Macaca fascicularis: one gene and its partner. The protein of the gene in region 2 interacts with the protein of the main gene of each other region in a biochemical or structural test. Links are inferred from orthologs where the notes say so. Each region holds a gene or a part of one and is shown on either strand. Other genes may lie near its edges.

The links.
Region 1: the proteins of ARFIP2 (region 2) and ARF5 form a complex in vitro, tested with the Homo sapiens proteins (2 studies listed by BioGRID). The link is inferred for Macaca fascicularis from reciprocal best matches to the Homo sapiens genes ARFIP2 and ARF5.

What each region holds. Positions count from the first base shown.
Region 1 is NC_088377.1:169,261,574-169,265,927, forward strand, and holds the start of ARF5 (ADP-ribosylation factor 5), read left to right. Parts: upstream 1-1,539; 5' UTR 1,540-1,628; coding exon 1,629-1,695; intron 1,696-2,213; coding exon 2,214-2,294; intron 2,295-2,618; coding exon 2,619-2,728; intron 2,729-3,193; coding exon 3,194-3,265; intron 3,266-4,075; coding exon 4,076-4,201; intron 4,202-4,322; coding exon 4,323-4,354.
Region 2 is NC_088388.1:59,599,356-59,603,687, forward strand, and holds the start of ARFIP2 (arfaptin-2), read left to right. Parts: upstream 1-1,508; 5' UTR 1,509-1,609; intron 1,610-2,381; 5' UTR 2,382-2,423; coding exon 2,424-2,522; intron 2,523-2,773; coding exon 2,774-2,870; intron 2,871-3,579; coding exon 3,580-3,698; intron 3,699-3,878; coding exon 3,879-4,100; intron 4,101-4,185; exon of another isoform or gene 4,186-4,259; intron 4,260-4,332. Other genes in the region: TIMM10B (mitochondrial import inner membrane translocase subunit Tim10 B), read right to left, coding at 622-798, 990-1,085, 1,287-1,322. UniProt on the Homo sapiens protein: Plays a role in constitutive metalloproteinase (MMP) secretion from the trans Golgi network. May have important functions during vesicle biogenesis at certain cargo subdomains, which could be predominantly utilized by secreted MMPs, such as MMP7 and MMP2.

The sequences.
Region 1 (4,354 bases), on a different chromosome or scaffold from region 2:
GAATTGATCTAACTTGGTGAACACTAGTTCTGTTATTATATTGGAACTCTCTAAAATGTACTCTTCAGCCTCATAAAAGCCTTCTTAGTGATGCAAATCTATGACTGAAGGAAAAAGGAAAGTCATGCACTCACTCCTATCTGTTTCCCAAAGTCTGTCCTTGGTATAGACTTTGCAGGTCAGGATGGGGCAGGACCTGGAGGTCTGTTCAGACCCCGTTTCTCAGTGGCCCAAATAACATCAAGCTGTATTATACATAACACTCAGTCACATTATCTCATCATTTTAATATTCACCATAACCCCTTAAGTTAGAACAAGTCTCCTTTTATAGATGACGAAATAACAGAAGAGTTATGAGGAGTGTTGAAGCCAAATCCTCAAGAAATGGCAGAATTAAGATTTGAACTAAAGCCTGAAACCACGTGCTGGCATGTGGTGGGTGCACAGTAAATATCTGCTGAAAAAGCAAATGAATGAATGAAGGGTTTTTTATTCCCAGCTCAGTTTACCTCGAGTCCATAAACAATTGATCCTAGAAGCCCACTGGGAACCCAGAGTAGGCATAACACCTGCCCTTGCTCCATTGGGAATCTATCAGTCCAGTTCAACTGAACAAGCATTTGTTAGGCCTATATTAAATGCATGGCATTGAGCCAGTCTCCACCGCAGAAGAATTTCATTCCTATTTTGCTATTCTCCTCTCAGATGCTAAAATGAGGCAGGGAAATGACATGTGAAGCTCTTTGGGTCTAGGGAGTCAAGATCCTCACAAAATCCTGAATGGGTGTGCAAGAATAAGCCAGGTCCACCAGTCTGTGGCAAAATGAGGCCCTTCAGCAAAGCGGCCAGCGCCTGGACTGAGAGGCGGGGCCCGCAGGGCGATCTAAGCGAAGGTGGACTTCAACAGCCCAGGAGTGGGTCTGCGACCACGCCGCCCAAGGCCGGGAATCTTACACTGGTTCCGCTGATTGGGAATTACGAAGTAGGCGTTTTGAGGAACCATGGAAGCTAGCTAGCACTTGGGCACCTACCCCTACCTCCGGCGCACTCTTCAAACGACCACCTCCTACGCGCAAGATCCTCAGTGGAAGATGAGGCGGTAAAGGGAGGACCAAGACCCCTAAGCGCATCTTCCGCTCCCCAAAGGAGAGTGGTGCGCACGTTCAGTGCTACTGGTTCCCAAGAGCTAAAACCGGAGCCCTAGCGGCCTGGACGCCACAAACCAAAGCCCAGCGGCCGGCCACTGAAAATGGGGGCAGAGGCCGATGCGGAGCGATGAAGCCTTTCCTCAGCCGCGCTCGGGCTGCCGGTTTGGCGGCCATAGGCCTGACAGGCACATTGGAGACCCAGACCCGTTCCCAAATAAGGGCAGCGCGGGACCCAGGCCAGAGGCGGCTACTCGCGGAGCTTCGGCTTCCCCAGCAGCCAGGCCCGGGGTGGGGCGGGGCCCAGAGCCGGGGGCGGGGCCCGGGTGGGGGCGGGCCCGCGGTGACGTCGGGAGGGCAGCGACGCGCGGAGGCGGTGGCGGAGCCTCCTCCTGCTGCTGCTGCGCCCCATCCCCCCGCGGCCGGCCAGTTCCAGCCCGCACCCCGCGTCGGTGCCCGCGCCCCCTCCCCGGGCCCCGCCATGGGCCTCACCGTGTCCGCGCTCTTTTCGCGGATCTTCGGGAAGAAGCAGATGCGGATTCTCATGGGTGAGGCAGATCGAGCGCGCGGCCCGGACCGGGGCGCCGGCCCCGGCGCAGCCCTTCCGCCCCCGCGTCCCTCCAGCCCCGCTCACCTGGGGCTCTGGCCCCGAGTCACCCACCTCCTAACGCCCCGGGGCCTCAGCTCTCGGGCGGGTCCCGGTCTGCAGCGCCGACCCCGGGGCCTGACACCCGGAGCTGCGGGCCTGGGTGGGGTGAAGCTCCCTCCGCCCCTGCCCGGCTGATAAGAAGGGAGGATTCCGCCCTTGGAGACGACTTTTAAAAGGAGCGCGGCCTACCCCCCGTGCCCCTTGCATCCCAGCCCTTTCCCGCGCCGCGCCCTCTTTGGAGTTGGCTCACGCCACCCAACTGCCCTCCAGGCCCCGAAGGTAGATAACGACGCGCACCTGGAGGCGCTCCCGCTCTCCGCCCCCGTCACCATCAGCTGTTGTGGCCTCTTCATTTTCCCTGGTCTCTAGGGGGCTCCCTCGCTCCCATCTCCATCCCTGTGCCCCTCTCCGTTGCAGTTGGCTTGGATGCGGCTGGCAAGACCACAATCCTGTACAAACTGAAGTTGGGGGAGATTGTCACCACCATCCCAACCATAGGTGAGCCCGGGGACGAAGCAGGGAGCGGGAGCGCCGCGGCGGGCCCTCTCGGGGTCTGCTCCCAGTTCTGCCACTTTTCTGGAGCTGACCCTGACACCAGATACAGCTATTTGAGAAGTGGGTCAGGGTATCTCTACGTGGATACCGGAGGCGGGGTGGATGTGACCTAGCCCCGCCCTGTTGACCGGCAGTTCTGGGGTTCTGTTCCCCTGGGCCTTGATCATTGCCTTCTGGTTTTGTGTCCCTGCTGAGATCTAAGTAGTTTCAGTGAGTTCCCTCCTTTCAGGAGTTTTTCTCATATTTTTTTTTCCCAATTATCTGCAGGCTTCAATGTAGAAACAGTGGAATATAAGAACATCTGTTTCACAGTCTGGGACGTGGGAGGCCAGGACAAGATTCGGCCTCTGTGGCGGCACTACTTCCAGAACACTCAGGTGGAGTGTTGGGAGGGGACTCTAACCCCACGGGAAAAGGTGTTAGGGCTGGGAGAACAGAATTGTTGGCCTGGGCTGGGCCCCCAGGCCAAGGAGAAAACCCTTCCCCGCTTCTCCCCCCTCTGTTTGGCTACCCTCTACTCACTCTTCAGAGCTCACCTTAGTCTTCACCAGCTTGAACTTCTCTTTAGAAGCAGGATTCTGGGGCCAGGCTGCCTGATTTAGCCCTCATCACATGTCTTTATTTCCTTGCACTTCTTTAGATAAACTACTACTTCTTTGCGGTGGGGTCTCTAGTTTGTGCTGGGACTTCTGTAGAGCTTCTATGGAGTTCTGTAAACTTCTGTAGCGTTTACTAGATGAGAAGGATTGACACAATTACAGACGGCAAGAGAAGAGAAAGGGCCACACTACAGTATGTCCCAGGCAGGAGTGATTGCTTCTCCTTTCTTCCTTCTTGCCCAGGGCCTCATCTTTGTGGTGGACAGTAATGACCGGGAGCGGGTCCAAGAATCTGCTGATGAACTCCAGAAGATGGTAAGTACCCAGAGCCCTGGGAACTGAACCCTCAGGTTGGGGACAGAGTGATCTCTCTAGTGCTATAGAAGTCAGGGAGCCCCCAACAAGCATTGAAGACCAGAAATACAAGTTTTTCTTTATGGACAGATACATTGTGTATCTCACCGTTTTGGATGGGACTGACTTTCTGTGCATTCTCGTGTCTTTTTTTTTTTTTTTTTTTGAGATGGTGTTTTGCTCTTGTTGCCCAGGCTGGAGTGCAAAGGCACAATCTCGGCTCAACCTCTGCCTCCCGGGTTCAAGCAATTCTCCTGCCTCAGCCTCCCGAGTAGCTGGGATTATGGGCGCCTTCTGCCATGCCCAGCTAATTTTTGTATTTTTAGCTGAGATAGGGTTTCACCATGTTGGCCGGGCTGGTCTCGAACTCCCGACCTCAGGTGATCCACCTGCCCCAGCCTCCCAAAGTGCTGGGATTACAGGCATGAGCCACCGCGCCCAGCTGCATTCTCATGTCTTTACATCTGAGTCTGAGAAGTTGCAGGGGAAATGGGACTTATATGTGGTAAAGAGAAACATTTTACATTCTTGCCTTTTCCATTTGGAAATGTTGTCATTTTGCCTAGGCAAGTACTCAAATTAGGAAAAGGTCTTTCATTTCTGGACTTATGGCTCAGGTCACCTCAAGCGCATTTATAACTATGTCTTGTCTTCAGTGGCAGACTACACAATATTTTTTTTTCCAATCAAGATCCTAGGAGGTAGAAAGGGAATTCCCCATACAGTAAAGAAGACGCAGCCTGGGTCCCATCTTCTCTTCTCCCCTCTCAGCTGCAGGAGGACGAGCTGCGGGATGCAGTGCTGCTGGTATTTGCCAACAAGCAAGACATGCCCAACGCCATGCCCGTGAGCGAGCTGACTGACAAGCTGGGGCTACAGCACTTGCGCAGCCGCACGGTAAGGGTCCTGCCCACCTGGTGCTGAATCCTGCCTCTTTAGGGAGGCCACAGGCTGGGACAGGGATATAAAGGCCCTTTTGTTCCTGGTTGCTGACCTCTTTCTTTCCTTTTCCCCACAGTGGTATGTCCAGGCCACCTGTGCCACCCAAGG
Region 2 (4,332 bases):
AGAATTCTAGACATATAAGACATAGTTCACAAAACAACAGTTATGAACCAACAAATACTTGGTTCACGGTTATAAGCCATTGAAGTCAGTCAGACTTAAGGACAACTAGACAGAGCTCCCATTTTCTGTCATCTGGGCAGGAACCAATCTCCTTTTGTATCAAATGGCCTTCTGGTACATTCTGGAATCTTGCTTCCTCATCTATTTAGTGAGGCTAATACCGCTTACTTGTAGTTTTGTTGTAAACTAAGATAAAGCCTGACATATTACTCATTTTAAAATTGTACACACAGACCCTGCTTTAACCAGATGCCTGCAAATACTCAGGTTTTCCTTCTACATATAGAAGACAACTTATCAGCTGCCAGGGCTGAAGCCAGCAGATATGGCTAAATGACAGAACAAAGGATTATGCCAATAAACTATGCAAAGCTTCCTTGCCCAGAATATAAATCAAACAGAGTAAAAAGCGAGTATATTGGCTCCAGGAAAAGGAGCAAGGACAGCCAGTTTTCAGGCGACCTCGAATTCTCTCCGTTTAGGATTCACCAACCCTAAGGTCCACTGGGTCCTTCAATCTGAGGGTCCATCCAGGGCCTTCCCTCCTGGGGTTGGAGATGGCTAGCTGCCTGATGGAGAGACCCCAGGCTGCTCAGCAGCAACGCCTGGCACAGCCGAGACAGCCTCGTAGTCTGCGATGCGGCGCTGTACCAGGGCAGGCATGAGCTGCACGTAAGCGGCCATGAGGCGGTGGTTGGAATGGATCAGCTTCCCAGCACAGCTGTGCAGACAGGCCTCCTAGAAGGAAGATAGGGTTTAAGCGGAGGACAAAGGTGTCCTGTCGGGCCCGCCTCCGTCCTTCCCCATGCACAGCCTAGGGGTGAGGGTCTGGGAAGGCCAGGACCAGAGGTAGGGGAAGTGGGGTGAGGAGGGAAGCAGTCTACCGCTAAACTCTGTTTGCAGCGTAACCTCCTTACACAGTTCCCCACCTCCTCAGCGTCCAGAGCTCGGTGGTGCAAGCTGGGCACACAACGCTGGAAGCAGAGTTCTGTCATCCGATTGTAGACCAACAGGAAGTCACGCAGCTGGGAGAAAACCGGGACCACGAACTCAGCGATATGTGCCCCACACTTCTACTCAAGGTCGCGCCGCCCAAAGTTTCCCAGGCCCGCGCACCATAACCCGAAGTTTCCAGCCCTCAGATCCCTGGCTCTATGGGGTTTCCGCGATGTGTGCAGGAATGCGAGCTGAACGTCTGGCCCCGAAACGACTTAGTTCTCACTCACGTTTCTCAGTTGCTGTTGCTGCTGCTGCTGCTCCATCACGCCACCGGCGCATGCTCTACGCCACTTCCTTTTCAGCTTCTCGGTGCCGCCCCGGAAGTAACCTCTCGCTGCTCTCGAGAACCAAGCTAGAGTATCGCCCTGCCCCGGCTTCGACGTCACTTCCGCCCTTATAATCTGCGACGTGGCCGGCTTCTTCTGCCCGGAGAGGACGTCACTTCCGCCGAGTCCCTGACCTGCTGCTAGGATCGCGACGGGAACTGGAGCCCGAGGTCCCCGCGCGGCCCGGGCCTGGCGCCCTGAGGGGAAGAGCGGCCCGGCCCGAGGTGAGAGGGACATGCTTGGGCGACGGGAAGTTGAACGCACAAACCTGTCCAGAGGGCAAGATGCCCCGAGCCCTGGGGAAGAATGAGGACACACCTGATGTCCAGGTGTATGGGGGTGGGGGCGGGGACTCACATACCTGGGAGACTGACTGTGGAAGGGATCACCGATATCCTGGTAAAGACAGGCTTTTGCCAGAGACTGGGAACATACACCAACTGATCTAACTAAGGCCTGGTGGGGAGGGCCCAAGGAAGAGGAGTTGTATGAGACGGAGGAGGGGAGACCCCCTGAAGGAAGGGGGAAGAAACACTAAAGGAGTGAGAAAGGCCAAGCAATGGAGAACAAACCTGAATGGGGGGTGAAGACCTGAGCCCTGGAAAGGGTCCATCTCCTGCTCAGCATAAACACGCCTGCATGGAGATAAGTTCTAAGAGAGCTACTTTCCCTCTTCACTGTTGTATTTTCATTGTCACAAATAGTACCTGACACAGAGTAGGCACTCACTAAATGTCTGCTGAATGACTGAATGAGTGTAGAATAATCACCAGAGGCCTGGTGAGGTTGGGGGCTTGTGAGAAGACACCGTGCTTTGGTGTGCCTGTGTACAAATGTGCATTTTGGAGGGGAGAAATACATATACCTGAAGAAAGGAATGATGACCAAACGCTGGGACACTCAAACCCTGGGACAGCCTTTAAAGAAATGACAGAGGAGGCTTCCTTCTTCTAGAGTGCTGGCCAGTGCCCAGAACTTCTGTGTTGGGCTTTGCAGGGTGCTGGGGTGGAGAGTTTTACTCCAATACCTTTCCTAGCCATGACGGACGGGATCCTAGGGAAGGCAGCCACAATGGAGATCCCTATCCACGGGAACGGTGAAGCCAGGCAGCTTCCTGAAGATGATGGGCTGGAGCAGGTGCTTCTGTTTGATTCTTCTAATTGTTTCAATTTAGGAATCCAATTTATAAATCCTGGGTTCTCACCCTCCATTCCAGTAGCCTTCCCCTGAACTTATCTGACTCCCTTAATTTTACATATCATTTTGATTCTGTGCAGACTTCCCTTGTGTAGTGTCTTTATGATGCTTGAATCCAAACTTGTTCCCACCTCCAAAATGCTTCTGCAGTCCCTATGTTCCTGAAGCAACCCCTCTTCTCTGGCCTATAGGACCTCCAGCAAGTGATGGTGTCAGGACCCAACCTCAATGAAACCAGCATTGTGTCTGGTGGCTATGGGGGCTCTGGTGATGGACTCATCCCCACAGGTATGAACAGAAACAGGAAGCTTGGGTGGAGGAGGGGACAGGAATGGTTTGGGGAAGCATAGGATATGTCTAGGAAAGCTTGAATAATGTCTGGAGATCTTAGGAACTTCTGCTTGTAGGAATCCCATGGACTCTCCTCAGCCCAAAAGCAACTCCCAGCATTGTCCATCCATTTCCCTTTTGCCACTTGGCCCCTGAAATGGCTCATTCGTCCTTTCCCTGCCACCACCTGAGTCAAGTTAAGACCTACTTCACAGGAATGCCCCCGCTCTACAGCTTGAGGCTGAGTTGGAACTTTGTGAGGCTTTTCAGAATTTTTAGATTCTAAAGTTTAGAGGAACAAACAGCCCTGAATCTCACACTAAGATTCCACATGGGAATGCAACCAGGTTTCTTGTTATCATGACCCACCATCCTTGACTCCTGCTGCCCCCAAACTCAGTGTATTTTCTTCTGTTTCCTCTGCCCCTATACACCAACAACTCCCTGCAAACCTCTCCTCTGGCCTCCAAGGAGGCCATATGTATATCAGGATTTGGTTATCACTGTGCAAGGTCCGAGTTCCTCCTAGTAAACAGGAGAATCCAGTTGTCTCTAGCATCTCCTTCAGGGAAGTCAATTTCATGTGCTGGGAGAGAAGCATGGGTGGGGCCACAGAGGTGTCTGGTGTATCTGAGAGAGGCTGGTGTCAGAGAACTTGATCCTTTAGGGTCTGGCCGCCATCCATCTCACAGCACCACTCCTGCTGGCCCTGGAGATGAGGTGGCTCGGGGCATTGCTGGAGAAAAGTTTGACATCGTCAAGAAATGGGGCATCAACACCTATAAGGTAGGATTTGAGCACCTCTCACTTCCCCAAAACTCGTTATGGGTACCTTTTTCCCCTTTCCTCATGATCGTAATATCCCATCTGTGGCTGAGAGTAGGAGCCTGGGTGGCGTTGGGGTAGATACCTGTTGTGTCGGGAGGCTATTAGGGTCTCTGATCTATTGCCCCGTTTCCCAATCAGTGCACAAAGCAACTGTTATCAGAACGATTTGGTCGAGGCTCACGGACTGTGGACCTGGAGCTAGAGCTGCAGATTGAGTTGCTGCGTGAGACGAAGCGCAAGTATGAGAGTGTCCTGCAGCTGGGCCGGGCACTGACAGCCCACCTCTACAGCCTGCTGCAGACCCAGCATGCACTAGGTGATGCCTTTGCTGACCTCAGCCAGAAGTCCCCAGAGCTTCAGGTGCCTCACCCAGACCAAAGAGGGTGGGGGAACTGGGCATGGGCCCTCCCAGGCAGTCATTCGTCATCCTCCCTCCCTCCTGCAGCCCACAGGGAGAACCCCTTCAGGGTGGGCCCAGCCCTACCCCCAGCAGCACTCACCTGTGGAGGCAGCCTAAGGGTTTGTACAGAGGTCCAGAAGTTGGAGGGGGTGGGGGAGGGGGCACACTAGGTGCTTCACAAATAACCCCTCT